Saccharomyces cerevisiae S288C: one gene and its partner. The protein of the gene in region 1 interacts with the protein of each later gene in a pairwise test. Each region holds a gene or a part of one and is shown on either strand. Other genes may lie near its edges.

The links.
Region 2: the proteins of PEP7 (region 1) and VPS45 interact in binary tests that used the Saccharomyces cerevisiae proteins (3 or more experiments, as listed by UniProt).

Annotation. Positions count from the first base shown.
Region 1 is NC_001136.10:1,108,882-1,120,879, reverse strand, and holds PEP7 (phosphatidylinositol-3-phosphate binding protein), read left to right. Parts: upstream 1-6,852; coding exon 6,853-8,400; downstream 8,401-11,998. Other genes in the region: YSP2 (Ysp2p), read left to right, coding at 1-271; condensin subunit YCG1, read right to left, coding at 647-3,754; small subunit rRNA maturation protein UTP4, read left to right, coding at 4,117-6,447; TIM11 (F1F0 ATP synthase subunit e), read left to right, coding at 8,587-8,877; mitochondrial 54S ribosomal protein mL38 MRPL35, read right to left, coding at 9,188-10,291; asparaginase ASP1, read right to left, coding at 11,033-11,998. UniProt on the Saccharomyces cerevisiae protein: Required for vacuole segregation and vacuole protein sorting. Possibly part of a complex which tethers the vacuole membrane to microtubules, either directly or via kinesin or dynein-like motor proteins.
Region 2 is NC_001139.9:328,746-332,345, reverse strand, and holds VPS45 (Vps45p), read left to right. Parts: upstream 1-1,738; coding exon 1,739-3,472; downstream 3,473-3,600. Other genes in the region: PAN2 (poly(A)-specific ribonuclease), read left to right, coding at 1-1,228. UniProt on the Saccharomyces cerevisiae protein: Essential for vacuolar protein sorting. Function in membrane traffic between the Golgi and the vacuole.

The DNA of each region.
Region 1 (11,998 bases):
AGACTCGAATAAAAATAACATAGTCACCGATACGGAGGGTCTCATATGGGACTGGTTGATAGATCGTGGAAATGGAACCGTTCAAAATAGTGTCTTGTCCAATCATATTAAGGAGAGTAATAACAAGAAGGTTAAGCTCGTAAATGGAGTTAGTGATCATAAAATACAGCAGCTAGTTGAATCTATAAAAATCACCGAATTGCAGCTGCAAGAAATGAAAGAATTATTGGCCCAAACGGATAACACGTCGGCTACTAACCAATTACTTTGATAAAATAACATTTTTCGTTCTAATATAGTCAAGTAGGAAAATTCTACTCGACTTTATTTTGTTCTTTTGATCTTATTTCTTTTACTTTAATTATATATAGGATATTTTCTTAGGATAATTGTAATAAAATGCATTAATAGTTTTATATGTCCATTTCTGGTGCATTACTGGACATAATTTCAGTTCCTTTCACCAAAGAATTTATAGCCTTGGAATATTTCCATAATTTGTCCCACCGGGTAATGTGCGTAATGCAATAACATATAGCATCTATATCTGGTAAGCGTAGAAGAATTAACAAACCTAAGAATAAAATACAAATATGTTTACAACCAAAAAATCAACTTAAATAGATGAAGAGCTCGCATATCAATTTTAACAGACCTCGCTGAAAGACTCTGAATCCTTATCTTCTTCATCTATGGACATTGCATCTGATTTCTCGTCAGGTAAAACAAAACTTACATTTTTTGCTACAGTTGACGTGTCTTGAATACTCATGTTTTCCAGGTTTTTGGATGTGTCAATTTGCTCCGCTTCTGATCTCGTTCTTTTCCTTGAGTTACTTTGCTCTGTTGTATTGTCAACTGCCGAAATATTAACAGTTGTTTTAGTCAATTCTGTGTTATTTCCATCAGTTATATCAGCAGCGTGTTCTATGGTGTCATTTGAAGATTTATTGAATGAATTCCCCAAAATAGACGAGTATTGGTCATTCGCAGTGTTGTTCTCATCTTTTGTCTGAGTTTCTGACCTTTCATTGATCTCTTCAATCAGCGAATTCAAATTATTCCTTAGCTTGTCCAGAGCATTTTTGCTAACATTGTCTAAATTATCATTTTCTGCAATATCGTCAGAATACTCAAGAAGTTCTTTCAAAGTAGAATAATCTTGTTCAGAAGAAAGAAATATAGCGTTTATATTAGTGATGATCATCTTCTTTATTTCTTTCTTCTCAATTTGAGCGTATATTTTGAGCACATCGATCAAGAATGTAAGCTGCACTGTATCTTTTTTTGTTGAACCTGTCTGGTTAACTAAGTTACGTGGATCAGTCCAAAATAGCAACTGTTGAAATATTATGTTAGGCTTTAGCATAGCTTCACGGTCTACCTCAGGTATTACAGAGCTCTGTAAATCGTCCCAAAGAACACATAGTCTTAAGAGTATGTCCGCAGCCGTCCTAGACATACGTTGTTGATGAGCAGGATGTGAAAAACAATAGACTGGAATGCAGAAGGCAAATGCCTGTACCAGCGCTTCGTTTGAGGAATTTATCGGCGAAAAATATGACAAAACCAACGTTTCAAACAAATCATCATCAGTGAACACGTCTGCCAAAAATAGTTTGCATAAACCCTCCGCTGCTATCACCTGACATTCCGGTAAACCGTTATTCTTTAAAACCTTGTAAAATATTTTGTGCAACGAGATTGAGTCAACTTTGCCTTCTCCGTCTACCACAGTGTTCCCATGTACGGAAAAAATATCTACAATGACTTGTAACGCAATATACTTTAATGATGCATTACCTTTCGAAACGCACATACCTAAGATGTACATGTTATCAATAGCCAACTTCACATCCAAGAGACAACATAAACCAAGGTTCTTGACACCAAGCTCCCTAATATTTGGCGCGGTATTTCTAACCGCTGGTGTGATCAAAGTGTCCATCAACGACGCAATTAAAATGTTTTCTGTTAACGGTGTGTTAACTAGTTCTAGCATATATGATGACCTTGTAAGACAGAGAACAATTGTTGCTGAGGACGCTTCCTTTTCGGGTGGGAGATTATTTATTATGTCACTCTCAGATACGTTGCCGTTTCCCTGCACTAAGTTTTCTACAGCAGAATGGAAGGATGAAATATTGTCGTCTTCTTCATCCTCGTTAACTTCGTCATTATGTGTGCCGTTTTCGTCCTCTTCATCGACGGAAGTCTCATTTCTGCGATTAATCTTCTTGCTTTTTATTTTCTCTTCTTGTTCTTGTTTTTCAATATCGTCGTCTCTAATATCATTAATGATTTCTATTGCCATTGTTACAAAATCTTTTTCATTTATGGACAGACTTTTCATTACACGAATACCAATTTTAATAAGAGGTTCGGAGAGTGTAGTTAAGGCCAGCATATTTCGTACCACTGTAAGCATCGATCTCCTTCCAACCTCATCGCTATAATCATACCTTTCGGCGGCAATCGATAGTTGCTCAATAATAAACTCTAAAGTGTTATAATCAAAATGCGACTGAGAGTCATTAGAAATGTCGTTGTGATGATATCTGAGAAGAATATAATGGTTTAAATGCTCGGATAATTTTGAGGCTTCTGGAAAGTTTTCTTCCAGCATTTCTGTTATATTATTATCCAAACAGTACAAATAAATAGCCCGAAAGAGGAAGGCAATTTCTACGGTAAAGTCTTTCCAAATACTTTCAGGAAATTTGATTTTAGATAATATATCTGGCCTTGATTGAAAAAGTGCTTCTATAGCCTTAACACACACTGAGGATCTTGAGACATCCAATTTTTCTAGTAATTCTATCAAATCGCCATCCAGAGCATTTAACCAATCATGAGCAATGAGTCTCTTACACGCATTTCTCACTGATAATTCCCTATCTTCTAAACCCCACTCAATCAATTGATCAAAAATATGCGGCTCAATATCATCGAAACACTTTCTTCCCATTGATTTCAAAATTCTCGAATACACGAGCCTTCTATTAACGATGTTTACATCTCTAGCCCTCTCCAAGATATACGGTCTAGTATTATTATCATTGATCAAATTCAGCATTGCAGCCCTCCGTACTTCAGCTGACGGATCGTTCTGGATAGAAGCAACTAGAGTTCTCGTAGCTTCAAAATTTTCTTCATTATCAGAAAGCTCAGTTAAATGTTCAGTTTGCTCTTCATCCTGAAATTTAGTTAAACAAAACACAGCCTGTATCCTAACCGTTGGTTCTCTATCATAAATCCTCTTATTTAAAGACAATATTAATAAATTGAAAAGTGATTCATCGATTTCCCCTATATTATCCATTATAACGGCTAATAACTGTAAAACTCTAAATCTGACGTTCTTGTCAGGGCTTTCCACACCACGCAAAACATGTCTTATGAACTGATCGACGAACCTTGAGAATATCCCTTCTTCATCATTCGTGAGCTTATAGTTTTGTTTTTTGGCCAATATCAACTCCCTTTCTAAAGAAGCTATAAATGCAGCTACTAACTTTACTATCCTGTCTCCGATAATCTCATTCTTTTTCAGAGGAAGGATCTTAGTAACTAATTTATCGAACCAAAAGTTAAAAGCATCTTCATAGCCTTGCTCAACAGCCTTTGACTGAATTTTCTTCAAAACTGCTATATGCTTCCTGTGTCCTGCATAAGAACCCTGTGCCTTTTGAAATACTTCAGCAACTGAGTTAAAGATTTTCGTATTAATGTCAATACCATCAGGATCTTGCATGATGGGCGCGGCCTGTTAACTTCTTTGTCTTATCCAAGGCTGTAGGCATTACTGAAGTGTTTTTGTTTGATCTTCAAAGAGCTAAAAAGGTAAACAAACACGAAGGCTCTACCCTTTCATATGCGGTGCACGGATTTTAAAAGTCGCAATAACTCAAGAATACGATAGATGCAATAAATCAGAGGTAAAGTGCTTTAGGCTAATACTATGAGCAATTCAGTATAACCTGCATTATCTCCTTGTTTTCCTTTGTATCCCCCATGATTTTTTTTTCTTGTTATTCCTCTTGATACCATATTAGGCAGGATTTTTTTCAAAAAACCAAATGAAAAATTTTCAGACTGACAAGAAAAAAGCTACGAATGAGCTCATCGCTACTTTCAGTTTTAAAAGAAAAGTCAAGAAGCCTGAAAATACGAAACAAACCGGTGAAGATGACCAGTCAGGAAAGGATGATAGTGCATAGATGCAGATTTGTGGATTTCACTCCTGCCACAATCACATCTCTAGCATTTTCACATAAATCAAATATAAATAAGTTAACTCCGTCCGATTTGAGATTAGCTATTGGTAGATCTAATGGTAACATAGAAATCTGGAATCCTAGAAACAATTGGTTTCAGGAAATGGTTATCGAAGGTGGCAAAGACAGATCAATTGAAGGCCTTTGCTGGAGCAACGTTAACGGCGAGTCTCTAAGGCTATTTTCTATTGGCGGCTCGACTGTGGTAACAGAATGGGATTTAGCAACAGGTTTACCATTAAGAAACTATGATTGCAATTCAGGTGTGATATGGTCTATTTCCATCAACGATTCACAAGACAAGCTGTCTGTGGGTTGCGATAATGGGACGGTGGTCCTCATAGATATCTCTGGCGGGCCTGGTGTCTTGGAACACGATACTATTTTGATGAGACAAGAAGCCAGAGTATTGACTTTGGCTTGGAAAAAGGATGACTTCGTGATTGGTGGTTGTTCTGATGGTAGAATAAGGATTTGGTCTGCACAAAAAAATGACGAAAACATGGGTCGTCTATTACACACTATGAAGGTCGACAAGGCCAAAAAAGAATCAACTCTAGTTTGGTCAGTTATATATTTACCAAGAACTGATCAGATTGCCTCTGGTGATTCTACAGGCTCCATTAAATTCTGGGATTTCCAGTTTGCCACGCTAAACCAGTCATTTAAGGCGCACGATGCAGACGTACTGTGTCTAACTACCGATACTGATAATAATTATGTTTTTAGTGCTGGTGTGGACAGAAAAATCTTTCAATTTTCTCAAAACACTAACAAATCTCAAAAGAACAACAGATGGGTAAATTCTTCTAATAGGTTGCTTCATGGAAACGACATTAGAGCAATATGTGCATACCAATCTAAAGGTGCAGATTTTCTAGTTTCAGGAGGTGTTGAAAAAACACTAGTCATCAACTCACTTACTTCTTTTTCTAATGGAAACTACAGGAAGATGCCAACTGTCGAACCTTATTCAAAGAATGTTTTAGTTAACAAAGAGCAACGCCTTGTTGTTTCATGGAGCGAATCTACTGTTAAGATATGGACAATGGGAACCGATTCTAGTACAGAACAGAATTATAAGCTAGTTTGCAAGTTAACTTTAAAAGATGACCAGAATATCTCAACTTGTTCTTTATCACCTGATGGACAAGTTTTAGTCGTAGGGAGGCCCTCTACCACTAAAGTTTTTCATTTACAGCCCGTAGGTAATAAATTGAAAGTGACTAAACTAGATAATGACCTATTATTGAGAACTTCCACAAAATTAGTCAAGTTCATCGATAATTCCAAAATTGTCATATGCTCTTGCGAAGATGATGTATTTATTGTGGATCTAGAATCTGAAGAAGATGAAAAACCGCAAGAAGTTGAACTTTTGGAGGTTACTTCAACTAAGAGCAGTATCAAAGTTCCCTATATTAACAGGATCAACCATTTGGAAGTAGACCAGAACATTGCAGTAATTTCTCGTGGCTGTGGAGTCGTAGACATATTAGACTTAAAAGCAAGGATTTCTAAACCACTTGCTCGTTTGAATAATTTCATCACCGCTGTTCATATCAATACTTCTAGAAAATCTGTAGTAGTAATTACTGCAGACAATAAGATTTATGAATTCAATATGAATTTGAATTCGGAAGCCGAGAATGAAGATAGCGAAAGCGTATTAACTCAATGGTCAAAAAACAATACGGATAACTTACCAAAAGAATGGAAGACATTAAAAGAGAACTGTGTAGGGATATTTTCAGACATAGAAAATAGTAGCAGATTATGGTTTTGGGGGGCTACTTGGATATCAAGAATAGACTTTGATGTTGACTTCCCTATAAATAAGAGAAGAAAACAGAAAAAACGTACACACGAAGGGCTAACTATCACAGATGAAAGTAATTTCATGAACGACGAGGAAGATGACGAAGATGACGATATTGATATGGAAATCAGCGAAAACTTGAATGTATTATTAAACCAAGGAAACAAAATAAAGTCCACAGATGTACAAAGAAACGAAGAAAGCTCCGGTCACTTCTTCTTTACTGATAAATATAAACCTTTACTGTTTGTTGACTTAATTTCTAGTAATGAATTGGCAATAATTGAAAGAAATCCATTAACTTTTCACTCCAAACAAAAGGCGTTTATTCAACCAAAGTTAGTGTTTTGATTAATTTAAGTCAACATACCGAAGAATAGAGAGATGCTATTAAAAGGCTATCATACTCTAAGGGCATTTTTCAGTTACAAAAAACTCTAATGGCGTTAGTACTTTATAGAAACTCGCTAATGTAAAATAGCCAAGCACATACGCAGACATATATATGTAGTAATCACGTATGCAGACATTAAATGTGAGCCATTTATTGGTATAAATGTATTCCTGAATTACAAAAGTACTGGCGATGGAATCACTCTGGCTATCACTGTTATTTCCAGGCAGGGTAATACTTTGGGAAAACAATAGAATAATGAAAACATATGATCAGTAGCTAAATTGACCGACCTAAAGAGCAAAGCCGGATCTCATGGTTTTTAAAGGGATATCACCGAATTTCCTGGCGACTTATCTATTATGGATCTTGAAAATGTTTCATGTCCCATTTGTCTAAGGAAGTTTGATAACTTACAAGCACTAAATGCACATTTAGATGTTGAGCATGGGTTTAACGATAATGAAGATTCACTCGGTTCCAATGACAGTCGTTTAGTCAATGGTAAACAAAAAAAGGCCAGATCTGTTGATAGCAGTGCGCAAAAGTTGAAAAGAAGCCATTGGGAAAAATTCAAAAAAGGGAAGAGCTGCTGTCACACATGTGGAAGGACTTTGAATAACAATATTGGCGCCATTAATTGTAGGAAATGTGGTAAACTGTATTGCAGAAGGCATCTTCCTAATATGATTAAACTTAATCTTTCCGCACAGTATGACCCCAGAAACGGGAAATGGTACAATTGCTGCCATGATTGTTTCGTCACAAAACCTGGCTATAACGATTATGGCGAAGTAATAGATTTAACACCAGAATTCTTTAAGGTACGAAATATAAAAAGAGAGGACAAAAACTTAAGGCTATTACAATTAGAAAATCGGTTTGTCCGTCTAGTTGATGGTCTGATTACACTCTATAACACATATTCTAGATCCATTATTCATAATTTGAAGATGAATAGTGAAATGTCCAAGTTAGAACGTACAGTTACTCCATGGAGAGATGATAGAAGTGTACTCTTTTGTAACATATGTTCCGAACCATTTGGGCTATTACTAAGGAAGCATCACTGCAGATTATGTGGTATGGTTGTTTGTGATGATGCAAACAGGAACTGCTCAAACGAAATAAGCATAGGTTATTTAATGTCTGCAGCGTCAGATCTGCCATTCGAATACAATATACAGAAGGATGATTTACTTCATATTCCTATATCCATAAGATTGTGCTCGCACTGTATCGATATGCTATTTATTGGCAGGAAATTTAACAAGGACGTTAGAATGCCGCTAAGTGGAATATTTGCTAAATATGATAGCATGCAAAATATATCCAAAGTAATTGATAGTCTCCTGCCCATTTTTGAAGACTCATTGAATAGCCTGAAGGTGGAGACTGCCAAGGATTCTGAAAATACACTTGATCCAAAGAATCTGAATGATCTCGCTCGATTAAGACATAAATTACTCAATTCTTTTAACTTGTATAATACACTAACAAGACAGCTCTTAAGTGTAGAACCTCAAAGTCATCTAGAGAGACAACTTCAAAATTCGATCAAGATAGCTTCCGCTGCATACATAAACGAAAAAATCCTACCGTTGAAGTCGCTTCCGGCAATTTTGAACCCAGAGGGCCATAAAACGAATGAAGATGGGCAAAAAGCTGAACCAGAGGTAAAGAAATTATCGCAACTAATGATCGAAAACTTGACCATAAAAGAAGTGAAAGAGCTGAGAGAAGAATTGATGGTCCTAAAGGAACAAAGCTACCTTATTGAGTCCACAATTCAGGACTATAAGAAGCAGCGTAGATTGGAGGAGATCGTCACACTTAATAAGAACTTAGAAGAATTGCACTCAAGAATACATACCGTTCAATCGAAGCTGGGTGACCATGGGTTTAATTAAGACATATCTTTATTATTCGATCATTCGCGGAATCTCCACGCTAATTGGTCCGCGGAGCCAATCAGATCTATTTAAGGGTATAAATTTTTCTTTAGTTTTTTTGACTTTTCACACAGAAATTTTAGATAAAAGGAAGTATTATATCGGAACATAACGTATATAGGAACTAGCTGAGTGAGTTAAAGGATGTCGACAGTTAATGTTTTGAGATACTCTGCGTTGGGTTTGGGGCTATTTTTTGGTTTTAGAAATGATATGATTTTGAAGTGTAATGCTAAGAAGAAAGAGGAGCAGGCACAGTACGAGGAGAAATTGAAGCTGGTAGAGGAGGCAAAGAAGGAATACGCCAAGCTACACCCTGTAGTAACTCCTAAAGATGTGCCTGCGAACGCCTCATTTAATTTGGAAGATCCTAATATAGATTTTGAAAGAGTTATTCTTAACGCCGTTGAATCCCTGAAGGAAGCTTCAACATAAATAGAAGCTTCAACATAAATAGGATACTAAAAATGCACATTAGCTCGCACTGAATGACGAAGTTATGATGGATTCTCGTTCGCTAGATGTTCCATATTTTTTTCTTCATTCGTTAGTGCACAAACAATAAGGAAAAAAATGAAATGTATATATTCTAGAACATACTAATATCATACGTATCGTATTGTAAACAAAATTCACATTCCAAAAATTTTTCAGATTCTTACTTTATATTATTTGCATCAAGCTTTATTAACAATGACACGTTATTTTATATGTACAGGATACTATAATGTCATACTATTTAGGATCACCTTCTAACTCTGCTAAAAACCCTTCCAGGTGGTAGGCCATATTTTTCTCTGACGGCGGCGACTTTGGCATCCCATTCGCTTCTCCAGATATGTGCCCCAATAGCGGTTAGATTGTATTTCTTCGTAAATTGCCTGATATCAAAATCATCTCTACTTAGTTCCTTTCGGTCAATCTCTAACATGTTAGGACCTTGCTTATCCTCGATTAAGGGTTGTCTGAATACCCAAACAACGAATCTCTGTTTTCCAGCATTCTTTTCAGGTACCGGAGGTAAGTAGTCAGCGATAATATTAGAACTGTGGAACTTTCTTGGATCTATTAAATTGTCATTATAAGTCAAATTAATATTCACCAATCCGTAACACAAAGCCGTTTTAAATGAGTCATTACTCAAATCTGGAACATCAGGATTGACTATCAGTACCGTATACAATTGTTTTTCAACGTTCACAAGTTCATATTCTTGAATTTTGAAAATGGGACGCATGGATGTGACATTGGACGATAGAAATTCACCAGGTTCGATCCACTTATTTACACCAGTAGAGAAGGGAAATTTGATATTCACTTCTGCCCGTGGAACCAGAGTTGGAAGAGTATCAGGAATGGCAGCCAACGTTTCTAACCTTTGCATCAATAACATCTGGCCGTACGATTCCCAATGTTGTTTCCCCAAATGTCTGTACACTGGCACATCATAATCTATTATATCCTTAACATTGTTCAACTTGTTATTAAACTGAAAATTGTATTGTACCTCAGGATTATTGATCTCTGCTTTTATGAGAAGTGCATCCTTCTTCAAGGGATTTTTAGTCTTATTGGCCAACTCATAAAACTTACTGGATCTTTGCTCAAGAAAATCATAACTCATCCTGAAAATCTCATCAATGTGTTCTGGAGGTGAATATTTGATACGGTTACTTCTTCTGCTGATAGATGGTGGGTCTAGAGAAGCTTTCTTCTGGAAAAGGTAATTTTTCACTTTTGAAGATTGGATAGAAAGTGAACTAGGCCTTGTGGTAAAGTCCGACCAAATATGCGAAGTAGCATTAGGTTTTTGGAGGATTTTAGTGGTATGAATAGATCTTCGTAACATAGTTCGGCAGTGACCTTGATTTCTGTAAAGATCTCTGAATAAGCTTTTTGCTGTAGTCTGATATTGTATTGGATACTGTTGTCTTATCCCAGACCTTCCGGCTTCCGGTTTAGCCCGGAAAATTTGAAAAGACTGCGACAGTAAATCCCAAACACATAAGAAAATAAAAAAAGGAATACATAAACAAAAATGGATATATAAAGGCTAATTTTTTTTTGTTTATCAAATATTCCTTATTTTTTAACTTTCTTAAAAATATTTAAACACCAGATTTCGAAAAAAGTAATATTTATTCTTTAAAAATGCGGTGACCAGCGGGCGATGATAATCAAATATTTAAAAATGATATAATGATAAAACTTGAATTATTTTTATAGGAAAAGTGGAACCAAAAGATTTTCTAATGCACTGATATCATGAGCAGTTAATGAAAAATTATTAATATTATTTTTTTTATATTTTTATTCAAAAATAACATTCAAAATTTAATTTTAATAAACTCATTTAAAAAAAACCTCTAAAAACATGAAGATAGAACTATAATAACGGCTTCAGTATTCAAGACAAAGCCATGTGCAGGTGAAACGATAGAAAAGTGACATAGCCGAGACAATCTAAATGAAGAATTCCTGTACTCATCTCAGACTAGCATTAACAGGGACTTGCATAATTATATCTCTATCTCTGTGTCTATGTATATATATATATATATCGACACAAATGCAAAAAATTACAAAATTTTCACCCACCATAGACGCCAGTGAAAACATGTTTAATTTCTTCCAACGTGTAGTTACCTGCCAAACATAATTGTAACAAGATTCTGCTCTTTTCAGGGCTTAGATAACCAGATGCGATGAGATTATCCTCCTTTGAACCTTTCTTTGGTACGTTGGCAATAGGCACCATACCATCCATCGATCTCTTGGAATATACGATCGGCAAACTCAATTTCATGCAGGTTTCATTGACCTCCTCCGGCAATGAACCAGCACCCATGGTAGCAAGAACAATACCATCATACTTATCTGCCACTAAGTTGACTATAGCTGGCGGAAAGGCTTGGTGAGCATATAAAATGCAAACCTCTGGTAATTTAAAATGCTTACCGTCCACTCTCAGTTTGAATTTGTGGCAACCTTGCGGTTTCACAGGAGGATAATAGTAGTGAATTTCATTGTTGACAAAATTTCCTAAATAGCCTTGTCTAACATTAAAAGAATCCAAACTATTTGCATTCGTCTTAGTAATGTAGTAACCAGAGGAAATTTGGTCATTCAAGGAAACAAGAACACCTCTTCCTCTAGATTTTGGATTTGAAGCAATGCAAATTGCTTGGTAAAGGTTCATAGGGCCATCAGCAGAAACGCTGGTTGAAGGACGCATCGAACCAACAAAAACAATAGGAACGTCGCCAGCATCAATAGTACTTTCAATAAAGAATGCAGTTTCAGATAGCGTATCAGTCCCATGGGTAATAACTATACCGTCAAAAGCCTGCAACGATTCTGAGACGCCCTTATAAATTTTATAAAGAATATCCTCGTTTATGTCTTTAGAATCCACGTTGCATAGTTGCTCATATTCAATGTCACAGACCTTGGATATATCTGGAATGGCATCCAATAGATCTTGGATGGTCAGGTCAACATGATAGCCGGCAGTTTGAGAGGAGTCTATAGCTTTCGATGCAATAGTACCACCGGT
Region 2 (3,600 bases), on another chromosome or scaffold:
CCAAAAGAACAGTATTTGCCCAACCTGCGGCAAAACCGAAACTATCACCCAGGAGTGTACTGTCAAGAATTTACCTTCAGTGTTGTCATTAGAATTATCACTATTAGATACCGAATTTTCCAATATAAGGTCGTCGAAAAACTGGTTAACTAGTGAATTTTATGGAAGCATCATTAAAAACAAGGCAGTTCTAAGATCGACGGCGTCCGAATTGAAGGGCACAAGCCACATATTTAAATACGAATTGAATGGTTACGTGGCTAAAATCACTGATAACAATAACGAGACGCGTCTAGTAACATATGTCAAAAAATATAATCCAAAAGAGAATTGCTTCAAGTGGCTCATGTTTAATGATTATTTGGTTGTTGAGATAACAGAGGAAGAGGCGCTTAAAATGACATACCCTTGGAAAACACCAGAAATTATCATATATTGTGATGCGGAAGAATTACGAAAACCTTTCTTTTCTGTTGATACGTATTCCATCAACTATGACATACTTTTCCGTGATTATTTCGCAAACGGAATAAGAGATACTGCAAGACGTGAATATAAGTTATTAACACATGATGAGGCACCTAAATCTGGAACCTTGGTTGCCATTGATGCCGAATTTGTCTCATTACAAAGTGAACTATGTGAAATCGATCATCAAGGAATCAGAAGTATTATTCGACCTAAAAGAACTGCTTTGGCCAGAATATCCATTATTAGAGGCGAAGAAGGAGAACTGTATGGAGTACCATTTGTCGATGATTATGTGGTAAACACGAACCACATAGAAGACTATTTGACAAGATATAGTGGGATTCTTCCTGGTGACTTGGACCCTGAAAAGAGTACCAAAAGGCTTGTGAGAAGAAACGTTGTATATCGAAAAGTCTGGCTTTTAATGCAGCTCGGATGCGTATTTGTTGGTCATGGTTTGAATAATGACTTCAAACACATTAATATTAATGTCCCAAGAAACCAAATTCGCGACACTGCCATATATTTTCTACAAGGAAAGAGATATCTTTCATTGCGTTATCTGGCATATGTGTTGTTAGGAATGAATATCCAAGAGGGAAATCACGATTCAATTGAAGATGCCCATACTGCCTTGATTCTTTACAAAAAATATCTCCACCTGAAAGAAAAAGCTATCTTTGAGAAAGTACTGAACAGCGTGTACGAAGAAGGAAGAGCCCATAATTTCAAAGTTCCAGAAACTTCAAAGGGATAATATGGTGCAGTGCCTTTCACGTAATCTCAAGAGCCACCAGCGCACCACTGGTTGGAAAAGTATACAAAAAATTCAAAAAAATTATAAAATGTTACCGGTGTTTGTGTACTATTATATATACTGTAATCAACATATGCAAACATTTTGAAACAGGTCTTGTTAAACCTTTTTGTCATCACACGCCAGAATTAGACTTCTTTGTGCGATGAAGTAATATCTATTACCAGAAAAGAAGGTCTTACCCTTGTTTGGCCTCTCATATGTTTCCTACTTGTTTCCCGGGCGTCCGTAACGAGTACTGACTGTATGGCGAAAAGTTGCCAGAAATGTTCATTTTTGTTTCTGCCAATTTCAGGAAAGGGTAACGTCATTACAGTTAGTTAACGTTCGAACTTACTTATAGAAGTGCCTTGGCTCATATGCAATGTACCCAGAGTAACATTAAGGAGTGAAGAGGTACAGTGACTTGGTTTTGAGTTAAGGCCATCTTTTACTGTATAGAACAAAGAAATGAACCTTTTTGATGTGGCTGACTTTTATATAAACAAAATTGTGACTTCCCAATCGAAATTGAGCGTAGCCAATGTCAATGAACACCAAAGGATTAAGGTTTTGCTGTTGGATAAGAATACCACACCTACGATATCCTTATGTGCCACTCAAAGTGAGTTGTTGAAGCATGAAATATATCTGGTAGAAAGAATAGAAAATGAGCAACGTGAAGTGTCCAGGCATTTAAGGTGCTTAGTTTACGTTAAACCCACAGAGGAAACACTGCAACATCTGCTGCGTGAGTTAAGAAATCCTCGGTACGGCGAGTATCAAATATTCTTTAGTAATATTGTCTCTAAATCTCAATTAGAACGGCTAGCTGAATCTGACGACTTGGAAGCTGTTACTAAGGTGGAAGAAATATTCCAAGACTTTTTTATATTAAACCAAGATTTATTTTCGTTTGATTTGCAACCAAGAGAATTTTTAAGTAATAAATTGGTTTGGAGCGAAGGGGGGCTAACAAAATGTACCAACAGCTTAGTTTCTGTGCTTTTATCCTTAAAGATAAAACCAGATATCAGGTATGAAGGAGCAAGTAAAATTTGTGAAAGATTGGCTAAAGAAGTTTCCTATGAGATTGGTAAAAACGAAAGAACTTTTTTTGATTTTCCTGTGATGGATTCGACACCTGTGTTACTAATTTTAGATCGTAATACTGATCCTATAACACCTTTACTTCAACCTTGGACCTACCAATCAATGATCAATGAGTATATAGGCATTAAGCGGAATATAGTTGATTTATCGAAAGTGCCTAGAATTGATAAAGACCTGGAGAAGGTCACCTTATCATCAAAGCAAGATGCTTTCTTCAGGGATACCATGTATTTGAATTTTGGTGAATTGGGTGATAAAGTAAAACAATATGTGACTACATACAAAGACAAGACACAAACCAACAGCCAAATAAATTCCATTGAGGATATTAAAAACTTTATTGAGAAGTATCCAGAGTTTAGAAAATTATCTGGAAATGTTGCAAAGCATATGGCTATAGTGGGGGAATTAGACAGACAGTTGAAGATAAAAAATATATGGGAAATTAGTGAAATAGAACAAAATCTATCAGCACACGATGCCAATGAAGAAGATTTCTCCGATTTGATTAAATTGCTACAAAATGAAGCAGTTGATAAGTATTACAAGTTAAAGCTTGCATGTATTTATTCTTTAAACAATCAAACCAGCTCAGACAAAATCCGTCAACTAGTTGAGATTCTGTCTCAACAACTTCCTCCAGAGGACGTCAACTTTTTCCATAAATTTAAATCGCTTTTTAGCCGCCAGGATAAAATGACTCAAAGTAACCATGACAAGGACGATATATTAACCGAACTAGCAAGAAGATTTAATAGTAGAATGAATTCTAAGAGCAACACCGCTGAAAACGTCTATATGCAACATATTCCGGAAATTTCGTCATTACTAACAGATCTCTCTAAAAATGCGTTATTCAGGGATCGTTTCAAAGAAATAGATACTCAAGGCCATAGAGTGATCGGAAACCAGCAGAGCAAAGATATTCCTCAGGATGTAATATTGTTTGTTATTGGCGGTGTAACTTATGAGGAGGCAAGGCTAGTCCATGATTTCAATGGAACGATGAATAACAGAATGAGGGTGGTTTTAGGAGGCACCTCTATACTTTCAACTAAAGAATATATGGATTCTATTAGATCTGCAAAATAAATAAGGATTATCTTATTCTAAAATTCTATTTTATATATGAGGCATAAATCTATATAACTTTTTCGATGCAGATAAAACATTTTACTATTGCCAAGCGAAATTAGGTTCTCATTTTCTTCATTCGGTGC